Linked DNA regions of Xenopus tropicalis. The protein of the gene in region 2 purifies or fractionates together with the protein of the main gene of each other region. This does not show direct contact. Links are inferred from orthologs where the notes say so. Each region holds a gene or a part of one and is shown on either strand. Other genes may lie near its edges.

Region 1 (3,500 bases), on a different chromosome or scaffold from region 2:
GATTCCAAAAATAATGTACAATGCTTTTTCCTCCCGTGAGGGATGCAGCTGTAGTGGATAGGTCTTGGAAAGAGGATTGATGTAGATAACAGGCTTAAAAAAAAACAAAAACAACAAAAAGACAGTTCGACCCAATCCCAGCTAGATTTGAAGCTGTATAGAATTTTTCCCAAGAACCGTTGGGCCACCGGCCATAAAGCTACATGGTGGTGCTTAAAACTGAGAATACTCAAACTGAAAGCAGGTCAGCAAAGCAGGAGTAGATCCTTGTGTTCACAAAGCAATTTTGGTATTTCTGAAGCTTGTTTTGTCCCTGCAAATAAAAAAAACAGCCATTAACTCATGCACATGGCAAACAAACCATAGTATGCTGCTTTGTTCAATAACTCTCTAATGTGGGCCTGGCATAGCTAAGGGGGCAGTGCATGGATACATCTCCACTTTATTTGCTGTAAGCAAACATTCAAACACACATAAAATGATCATTTCTGGAAATACTTTCAAAAAAATGGAACACTCATTTCATATGTGTGACTATTTGGAAGAATTGTTTTTAAAAAAGGCCCTACCGCTGGGTGTGGGATGCAGGGAGAGGGGGAGAAATCATTCAGCGGCCGCTGTTGTTCACCAGGCCGTGAAATTCTTCCCAGGCCCTGGGCAACCAGAAATAAGAACAAAAAACAAGAAAAAAAAAAAATAGCACTTTACTTTACTTTAATCTAAAAAATAAGACTAACTGGGACTGATAGACATTTATTAGAAGTAACGGCTTGCTAAACTATAGCTGGAGAATGCACTGAAGGCTAAGGATTTCTTTCGTTTACAGTCCAACAGCCACCTCTCTTGAGTCAAGAGAGAAATACAAAACAAATAAAAAAAGTAGTGCAGTGGGGCTGCTGATCACACCAGGAGCATGTTCTTCTTCAGTGATTGCTGAGAAGAAAATATCACACGGCGTAAGATGCCACTCGCCAACCCCTCTGCTTTTTATAACCAAGTACAGCAAACAAAACTGTAATGGGACTATCCTGTAGTGCAGATCAGGAGTGAGGAGGCTGTCCTCTGGAGGGTGCCTATGGTTTTAGCATGGCTGCAGTTCTCCTTTAACTAATTAATTTTACATTTGGTCCAAAGATTACACAAATGAAGAATTACTTTTCCCTCCAGTGCCAGTAGAGGAAACGTCAACCTTGTGTTGTTCAATGATTTGGAAACTGTTTAAGGCTCCTTGCCCTTTCCCATCTTAAAGATGCCATGTGTGTTTTAGTGTAGCCCACTGTGTGAATCCCTACCCTGGGATCTGAGCAACCCAAGTTTTAGCTATATACCTCAAAGGTATTGGTAGGACAGCTACAGAGCACTCTAGTGGTAATAGCGCACAGAGTTTTGCCACACAAGCTACTTCAAGCTCATTGGTAGCCCACTAGGCATGTGATTAATTTGCAAATGAGCAATGTCACATTCTGAGTGATGATAACCTGAATGGGTGTACCGACCTAAGCTAGAAATGGTGCGGGAAGCAAAATGCACCATTTGTCATTATCCTAAGAACTGACCTTCATAAGCAAGCATCTGTAACCTCTCTTTTAGTAACCTAAGTTTGTAGCCTATCAGGATCCGCTGCAAGACCTCAGGCTAAAGACCTCAGACCTCAGCATTAACAATGATTAAACACATAATATGCAAAAAAACAGTTTTTCTAGTGCAGCTGGATAGGGATACCATATTCAGGTGGGGGTATCTATATTTATAGTAACCTCTAAAAGAGGTACTGTTGTACAGAAGAAACGCTTTTTGCAACATGGGTTGTTCTGCATGACATGAAACTGGCAACCCTAATTTCCCACTGAGCAGAGTACTCTATCCTGCGTGGCTGACTGGTCAGACTTTCTTTATCGGTTATGACTTATCCTGGAACTGGATGTCTTTGAACTTTATTCTGATGACTGGTTAAAAGTGACATAAAATAAGGACAAATTTTTATTATATGCCAGCACCTGGGACCAAAAACATATAAGCAACTTTTAAATCTTTGTATGATGAATCTGACTGATCAAGAATAATGGCAGTTTTAAAAATGAACAGGGAACAATAAACAGCTGATAATTCTAAACTACTCTAACTAGTAACAATGGATTGCTGAAACAATGTAAACATACAATTAGGTTGTAAATGAATTGACAAGCTTTACTTTGTATGCAAACTTTCATACCATGTATCTTTTTCTTGAGAGTTTAAATTTTTTGATTATTTTAACATTATTTAACATTTTACAATTTTGAGCAATCCAGTTCTGAGCCTTTCTCCTATGCTGAAGAAGGAAGCTATACCAAGCAGTCCAGCCGAAGCCTCTTGAGTTGGACGTGGCCCTCAAAGAGTTTCATAAAGTTCCCTGTGTAATTTTTAATATAATCTGGCCCTTGAAACAAACTGAATTTCCCATATATGTAAATTTGGGAAGCAATAAGCTACAGTTATTCTTAATGCATTCCTTAGTATAGTTTAGCCCATCAAAATTGAAATGTATTTTTTCATCATGATTTACAAGCTGAGAACTACATACTTGATGCTGTCTGTGTGCGTTTTGTATTCCATAACAGTGTTGGGAGGCAAATTCAGGACTCGCCGCAATGTGTCTCGAATACGAGCAGTGGTTGCCTGATCACTTGCAGTTTTGTTCCAAATAGATATGATGTCTTCCTGTGCATTCAATATAGAAAACGATTTCTTTTTACTTAATAACCATATCCCTGAATCACAAACATATTAAGAATTAAAACTCTTAGTCTAGATCGAATGTGTTTTAACTGTAAGCATGGGTAAAATGAACAGAGTTGGTAAGATACTACCATAAAGTCTTGATACTTACAAATGACTACATTTTTACTAACTCAAACTTACTGGCTAGGTTAAAGTTAAGGTGAATTTGTTTTTATTAGAGATAAAAACTGCTGTGGTGTTTCCATGACTTTTATTACACAATTCAGGTTTGGTGCAGATGGAGAGACTGGCAGCAGGAGGGGACAAAGTGCACCAGTTCAGCTAGAGAGGGATTTAGTGCTATTGTACATGCCTGGCCATGGTCATTCCTTTGCACATTGATCTGGTTGGCTAACAGTGTTAAATTAAGTACCAGAGAATGGACAGAATCCAAATAAGCAGATATTTGAAGCATTCATACAATATATAGGCTTTTGTATCACTTTAAAAAAAAACAAAAAACAATTATAGTGCGTACAGTTTTTTTTTTTTTTTTGAAAAGCTTGACCACTCTGTTAGGACTTTGCAAAAAGATAAACATCCCCTTTAATTGAAATTCCTAAATGTATTTCTCTTCTTTCCAGTTAAGGACTGATACCTGGTAAATGTGAGAGTGAAACTGGGCACAGGCCTTAAGTAGGCCACAGTCATATTGATAATCTTAATAATAATCTGCCCTTGCTTGAATGATTATGTTGATGTATTTGTTCCGCCTATCTATAACATAGAATTGAAGATTA
Region 2 (3,500 bases):
AATCATCATTGCCTGGCAGATATCTCTGGCATCTCTAGACATGTGGCACATCTAGACCTGGACACTAGGAAACTCATGTGGATTGTCCCTGTCTAAGAACTGGCTTTCTATCATTACTAAAAACCTCACATGTAAAGCCATCTGTAGCCAGCGATTGTCTTTGCCAATTAATGTGGTCTGGCTAGTTGGCCACAAGGCATGCAATATCTAGCTGGCATTAGAAACATCGTCATGTGCTGCTCAGGCTCTATAAACCTAAAAGGGACATGTTACAGATAAGCTGTGATTGCTGTATATTGTACCATTGCGTGTGAAACATTGCTTATGTGCAATGGCACAATAAATAACGGCATGTTTGTAGAAGGCTGGGCCCCCTTATTTATAGAAACTGGTTGCATTTTGATGTGGCCTTACATCTGGGGGTTGCAGCACTGGACTAAGATAATTGGCACAAAAATGCTGGGAATGCTCCTGCCAAACTGTTTTCATTATGTGCTGCAAGGGAGCTAAGCAGAAGCGACTGAATAGGCTATACACATGGACAGTTTTGGGCCACAAACACAATACACACTTCTGGCTGTAAAATTTGCTGCATCTGCAAATTCTAATGTCAGGACAACTAGTGTCTCTGTGGCAATTGTGTCTTTCAGAAAAATGACCCTGCTGTTTTCCTAATAATTTTTATTCTTAAAGGGGAACTCCACCCAAACACAACTTAAGCTTTTTGAAAAGAAAAAATAATTTTAAGCAACTTAAGCAATATACATCAATGAATGCAGCCTTTTCATAACTTTTAAAATAATAATATGGATTGGAAAAGTTACCTAAGCCTCGCCCTGCTGTTCCCCTGATGATCTGGCTAACTACTTGGGGACTCAAATAAAATTGCAACAATAGTCAACTGTCCTCAGCCTGCATCCTCAAAACCCCACACATCCTGCAATGCATTGTGGGTTATACAATTCCTGCATGCTGCCTGTAAGGCAGGGGGCTCAAACTCAATTTACCTGGGGGCCGCAGGAGGCAAAGTCAGGATGAGGCTGGGCCGCATAAGGGATTTCACAAAAAATTGGCTTTCAAGGGATAATGCAAGGCACGGCGGGAGCTGCCGATTGTGGAAATGACGTTATGCCATCATAACAGTTATTATGGGAAGACGTTCTGTGTGCACAATTAGCTCCTTAGCAGCTAATTGTGCACACAGAATGTCTTCCCATAATAACTGTTATGATGGAATAACGTCATTTCCGCAATCAGCAGCTCCCACCCACCGTGCCTTGCATTATCCCTTGAATCGCAATCCATTCATTGCTTTTGAGAAGGCGTTGGTGCGGGCCACAAAATACTGTACCGAGGGCCGCAAATGGCCCGCGGGCCGCGAGTTTGAGACCCCTGCTGTAAGGTGTGGAGAAGTTGTTATACTTCAGACTGGATTTTATCTAAAGGCATGATAAATGTCCACTTTATCTATCCAACAAATGTGATTTGTGTAATGATTTTGTTAGGATGTGACTATCATGTAATGAGCATCCTGCTTAAGAAATAATGTTCTAGGAAACATTAACCATTAAGTGATTATTAAGCTGCAGAATGAATGGCCATGTAAGTAGTGGTTGGTTATTTTCCTTCCAGTTTTGTTTGTTTTTTCTTTCTAAGATCTTAATTTTATCTGGCCTATTGTTTTTGGCTAAGCTAGGTTTATTGTGCTGTGTTTCAGGCAATACAAGAGGTTGTGTTCTCTGCTCAGAGATACTCGTCATGACTGCATTTTGTTTTCCAATGAGTTCCAGAACCATGCCTATCTTCCTAGAGAAATGGGGGAATCTGCTTTGGCCTGGCAAACAAGGTACTTCAGTTTGTCTGTAACGCTGCCACCTTATAGAATCAAAGCCTGACCTAACTGCACCATTCTTAATGGGATGGTTGATGTTTGAATGTCCTTGCAATTGGTCTTCATGATTTATTCTTTGTAGTTTTTTAATTATTTGCCTTCCTCTTCCCCTCCAGCCCAAATGGGGGTCACTAACTCTAGCAGCCAAAAACGATTGCTCTGTGAGGCTACAATTGTATTGTTATTATAACCTTTTATAACTTATTATTCTATTTCAGATTATCTTCTATGCTTATTTCAATCTCTTATTCAAACCACTGTCTAGTTGCTAGGGAAAATAAGACCCTAGTAACCAGATAGCCACTGAAGTACTTAACTGGAGAGCTGCTGATCAAAAGACTAAATAACTGAAAAATCATAAAAAATAAAAGATGAAGACCAGTTACAAACTGTCTCAGAATATCACTATCTACATCATACTAAAAGTTAATTTAAAGGTGAACAACCTCTTTAATGCTATTACTTAGGTGCATCTACAATTCTTGTGTATGGTACTATCAACACTGTCAGAAGAAAATCCCTGTTGTGATGGTCACAGAAGATAAGTCTGTCATAAGGCAGTACAACACCGAGACCCAAGAGGTGTACGTGGTCTCATTCCAGGTCAGTGTGAGGGATTTTGTATTAATCCAAAAGGCAGGAAGAAGTGCTAAGGGACAAACTGAGAACATGTTTGCTATCAAAATAAAAATTCTAACAGCTTTCCCCGCAAATTTGTCTCTCTTTAAATAATATATAAAAACATTTTATATAAAATAATAATAGTCGGGTATATGTCACAAGGAATAGAAAAATCATCCCAAGCTAAAGAATTGCGCTTGGATAAATAATGCATTTTATAGTACAATATTATATACAACAGTGCTGTCTAACTGAAGGCCTGGAAGCCAAGTACAGTCCTCCAAAAGGTTTTGTTTTGTTTTTTTTAAAAAAAAAGCTCTATAGATTTCTTTGTATGACATTTATTATTTAAATATTTGATATCAAATATGCGGGCCACTTATATGGACAGCAATATTTAACAATATGATTTTGATTCATCAATTTATGGATATGAAAAAAAAAAAAAGGAACATTTGTAGGAATACGGGAGAGTTAGCATGATAAAGTGCTGCAGGGTAAGTGCTTTAATGCATTTTATACAGATTTACCTGGAGACTTTCTGGCCCAATTTAAAAGGAGCCCTGGAGCTGTATAAATCTCTAAAAGAAACCCATCGAGAGCGCGAGCTAGAGAGCCGGGAGGGTAACGGCAAAGAATACCCGGAGCACCTGCCACTGGAAATTCTCGAGGCTGGAATTAAATCTGGCAGATACCAACAGGTGGGTGTTCTCCAATAATACTACAGGCCATGTGGGAACATATAGGCTGCAATGGAACTCATATCTACCACTTTCTGCCTTCTCCAGGGTGTTCTCAGTGTAAACAAGCACAGAGCTCAGTTGGAAGGTTTTGTACGACTTCAGGGCTTAGGAGGAAAAGAAACAGGTATTACAGGCACCTTTTAAGGCTTATAGCTCTGTTAACTCAGTAATGTTCTGTTACAGTTTGCTTTGTGAAAGGCATTTCTCCTATGAGACTCAAAAAATTTTGAGACAGCCAGGGAAAC
Region 3 (3,500 bases), on a different chromosome or scaffold from region 2:
AGTAATGTTTTGGATTGATCAATAAAATCTGAACCTACAAAAGTGACTAACAACAAAGCAATTACCCAAGCTGGTAAGTTACATTACATTACATTAATCCTGCAATATTAGCCTGTTGCAATCATATTAGTGCAGGTATGGGACCTGTTATCCAGAATGCTCAGGACCCAGGGTTTTCCGAATAAGGGATCTTTCCATAATTTGGATCTCCATAACTTAAGTCATAACTTAAACCCAATCGGCTTGTATTGCCCCCAATATGGATTAATGATAACTTAGTTGGGATCAAATACAAGGTACTGTTTTATAATTACAGAGAAAAAGTAAATCAGATTTAAAAATTAGATTTGCTTATAATGGAGTCTATTCAGAACTTTCTGGATAACAGATTTCTGGATAAGCGATGCCATACCTGTACAATAGATGGTGATGCACTCAGAACTGGGGTTCTAAGTTCAATTCTATCTAGATATTGTATGTTCTATTACACAGAAAAAGTGCATAGGGTCTTGTGGAACTAGGAATTGTGGTTTAAGGAACCTTTATTCCACAGACATGAAAGGATGTACAAAGCAGTAAGTGACTCTAGTAAACCCAGAGTTTTTACACTTTGTTATAACTTGACGCTGGTAGCTAAAAAAAAAATAAAAAAATAAAACAAACTACTCTCACATTTAGCATAACTAATGAGAAGCCCATCAAATTCTTATTTGTCTGTGCTATATCAACATTAAATAAAAACAATACTTTGAAAGTATTTAATTAGAACAGAAACTACAACAAACTGTCTGTGAAACACATTACCTTAAAACCAGCTTGTTTTAAGAAGTGGCCAAGTTTAGAGGTGACTTCATTAAATCGCTCTTGTTGCCAGTTAACCTGTAAAAAACAAAATACATAGAAAAAACTGCACTAAACTGGTCCTTTCTATTACACAAGTGAAATGAAAACCGAAAAAAATACATAATCATACATGATGAAATAGTCTTTAATATAGGCTAATGTGTGGTCTAAACAGGAATAATGGCACTCTTAAAACTTAAAAGTTTTTCTGTGTGGATAGAAAAAGGACAGACCTGAATGAAGCATTTGAAAGGCCAATCGAAGTTTAATTGGTTTAAAGGATGCCCATAATTAAGTACTGTCACTAGGTATTTACAAATGTTATAGAAATGCACATCTATGAAATGCATCTATGAATAAATAACTGTAGCAAAATACATACCTGATCCATTTTATTGACAGCAACAGCTAACTGGGTTACTCCAAGAGACCTAACTAATAAGGCATGCTCACGTGTTTGCCCTCCAGCTTCAAAGCCTGCTTCAAACTCTCCTCGGCTAGCATCAACAGCTAATACAGCCACATCTGCCTACAATGAAGCAAAGATTTAACATAACATTAAAGTGTTGAGCTAAATTGCAATATTAGTGTCTACAAATTGTTTGTACTGACAAACTTTATTTTGGGAGTGGAAGAAACATCAGAGATTTAGCATGACGGATGATTTTCTAACAAATGTTAAGCAAACCTTGTAGAGTAGAGAAGTTAATAAATCACCCAGCATGTTACAATTAGCCTTTCTATATTGACTTAATATTTTCAGTCTACAATGCAGCCTACTCCTTTAGATATGGATGCACCGTCAGGCAGGGCCCTCTAACCTCGTGTAGCTCTTGTGGTTATTGTTCCTTTTTTTATTGTACAACGCTGTGGAATATGTTTTATAAATACATAATGATAATAATCAAGAGCTGTTTATACAATTAGAAGTCAACATGTGTCTAGTTTACAGCCCCCCAACTTTAAAAAACTGCAGACAAAGGGATTGCACTGCACAGTGAAATGGTGATGTACATAGCCACAATCTATACATGTATGTTAAAGAAAAGCTATATCATCATGATTCATGATAGTTAGTTTTATTTTAGTGTTATAATAAATAATTTATGTTGCTAAGCCTATTACATGTGGGATCTTGGGGAAGAAAAACTATCCATTTTCAGCAGCCCTGTGACACCAGTAGTGAGCCTCTCCCTGTAATCCTGTGACATACTGTATACTGACACACAGGACAGCTTCAACTAGCAGGTGGTTTTCGAGGGAGCATAACAATAGGATGTTAAAGTTAACCCAACTATGCTTTCTACCTGCCTGGTCCATATTAACCTCTTGAATGACCAATGCCTGCTCTATTCACTCACTTCCTTCACAGACTATGGCCATTTTGTAACCTTGTACAATATCACTTAAGACTGCAGTTACCCTGACTTTCTAGAAGAAATAAGATCTGTACTTAAGTCAAAGGGAACTATGGAGTGATATGGAATCTCCTTCCATTGATAGCAAACAATAGTAATGCTTATTATGAAAAAAGTTGTGGTTTTATATGATGTGGAACAAGACCTTTATAATTTACTTTTCTTTTATCTCCATGACAACTGGTCTCTCCTCCTGGTCAATGGTCCTACCTCTCCATGGTTCCTATTTATGTGCAGAATATATAAGTCTTTATTAGGACTTGCAAATAGCTTTCCTGCTTGCCTTGCAAATATGAATTGATGCCCCTTGTTCCCAAACCTATGTTGCTTCTGATGCTGCGGAACCTGGTTTACACTGGAAGCAATGAAACAATGGCTGTGGAGAAGGTAAAAGTGATGTTATGATTAGACAATAAAACACCTTAATCTACCTCAGCAGCAACTCCTACAGCAGTGGCTCCTAAACTACAGGTCCATCCTCCCTGGAGGGCAACGGGGCAATGGCAGATCCTACATATTCATGGAACTATTTATTATTCATTTAGGGTGAAGACACAGAGAGCTACTAGCAGCAGCTACTTGTCATGGCTACTAAAATAGAAAATGCTGATCATTTATTGATAACCGTCTCTGTGTTTTAGCAGAGGCAATTCTCAGTATTGTCTATGGCAGGGGATTTGCTGGAGTTTAGTAGCCGTGAAAAAGTAGCTGCTACTAGTAGCTCAGTGTGTCTTCACCCTTTTTTAATTTTAATGTGCTGCTGTTTTCTATTCAGATTTTAACCACTACCTATGGCAAAAGTGTGAGGTGGCAATTAATGTGCATCTTAAACACACTGCCTGCAGCTAGGAACTCCATGTCTGATAATTCACAAAAAACTGACTAGCCAGGCTAACCCATAAAGTGATAACAATTACACATGGCAATACTTACTGGCTGCCTCTTTTCTACAGAGGTAGTTAGCTGCCCATTTATACTGAACATATAAGCTTTGGCTTACAGAATAAGTCAGAGTGTAAAAGTTACATTTAAAACATTAGTTTATAACTATTCCTGCAGAACCAAGAATGTTGTAGTGCATCATATACATAAAACATACTTGTGCAGCTCCTGTGATCATGTTTGGGATGAAGTCTTTATGTCCGGGAGCATCCATCAATGTAATAACCTTAGACTTGGTTTCAAACTTGGTCATGCCAACATCCATCGTCACACCCCTTTAAAGGAAAAGGAAAGGTA

What was found.
Region 1: the proteins of dis3l (region 2) and eukaryotic translation initiation factor 4E type 2 purify together in Homo sapiens (affinity purification with mass spectrometry; 3 studies listed by BioGRID and IntAct, with this or other methods). This does not show direct contact. The link is inferred for Xenopus tropicalis from reciprocal best matches to the Homo sapiens genes DIS3L and EIF4E2.
Region 3: the proteins of dis3l (region 2) and hbs1l purify together in Homo sapiens (affinity purification with mass spectrometry; 5 studies listed by BioGRID and IntAct, with this or other methods). This does not show direct contact. The link is inferred for Xenopus tropicalis from reciprocal best matches to the Homo sapiens genes DIS3L and HBS1L.

The regions. Positions count from the first base shown.
Region 1 is NC_030681.2:101,897,807-101,901,306, forward strand, and holds part of eukaryotic translation initiation factor 4E type 2, read right to left. Parts: intron 2,701-3,500; coding exon 2,564-2,700; intron 314-2,563; coding exon 274-313; coding exon of another isoform or gene 230-273; 3' UTR 1-229. UniProt on the Homo sapiens protein: Recognizes and binds the 7-methylguanosine-containing mRNA cap during an early step in the initiation. Acts as a repressor of translation initiation.
Region 2 is NC_030679.2:117,114,418-117,117,917, forward strand, and holds part of dis3l (DIS3-like exonuclease 1), read left to right. Parts: intron 1-1,717; coding exon 1,718-1,846; intron 1,847-2,358; coding exon 2,359-2,494; intron 2,495-3,036; coding exon 3,037-3,213; intron 3,214-3,300; coding exon 3,301-3,379; intron 3,380-3,500. UniProt on the Homo sapiens protein: Catalytic component of the RNA exosome complex which has 3'->5' exoribonuclease activity and participates in a multitude of cellular RNA processing and degradation events.
Region 3 is NC_030681.2:71,584,933-71,588,432, forward strand, and holds part of hbs1l (HBS1-like protein), read right to left. Parts: intron 3,479-3,500; coding exon 3,361-3,478; intron 2,638-3,360; exon of another isoform or gene 2,545-2,637; intron 1,373-2,544; coding exon 1,226-1,372; exon of another isoform or gene 880-1,225; coding exon 805-879; intron 1-804. UniProt on the Homo sapiens protein: GTPase component of the Pelota-HBS1L complex, a complex that recognizes stalled ribosomes and triggers the No-Go Decay (NGD) pathway.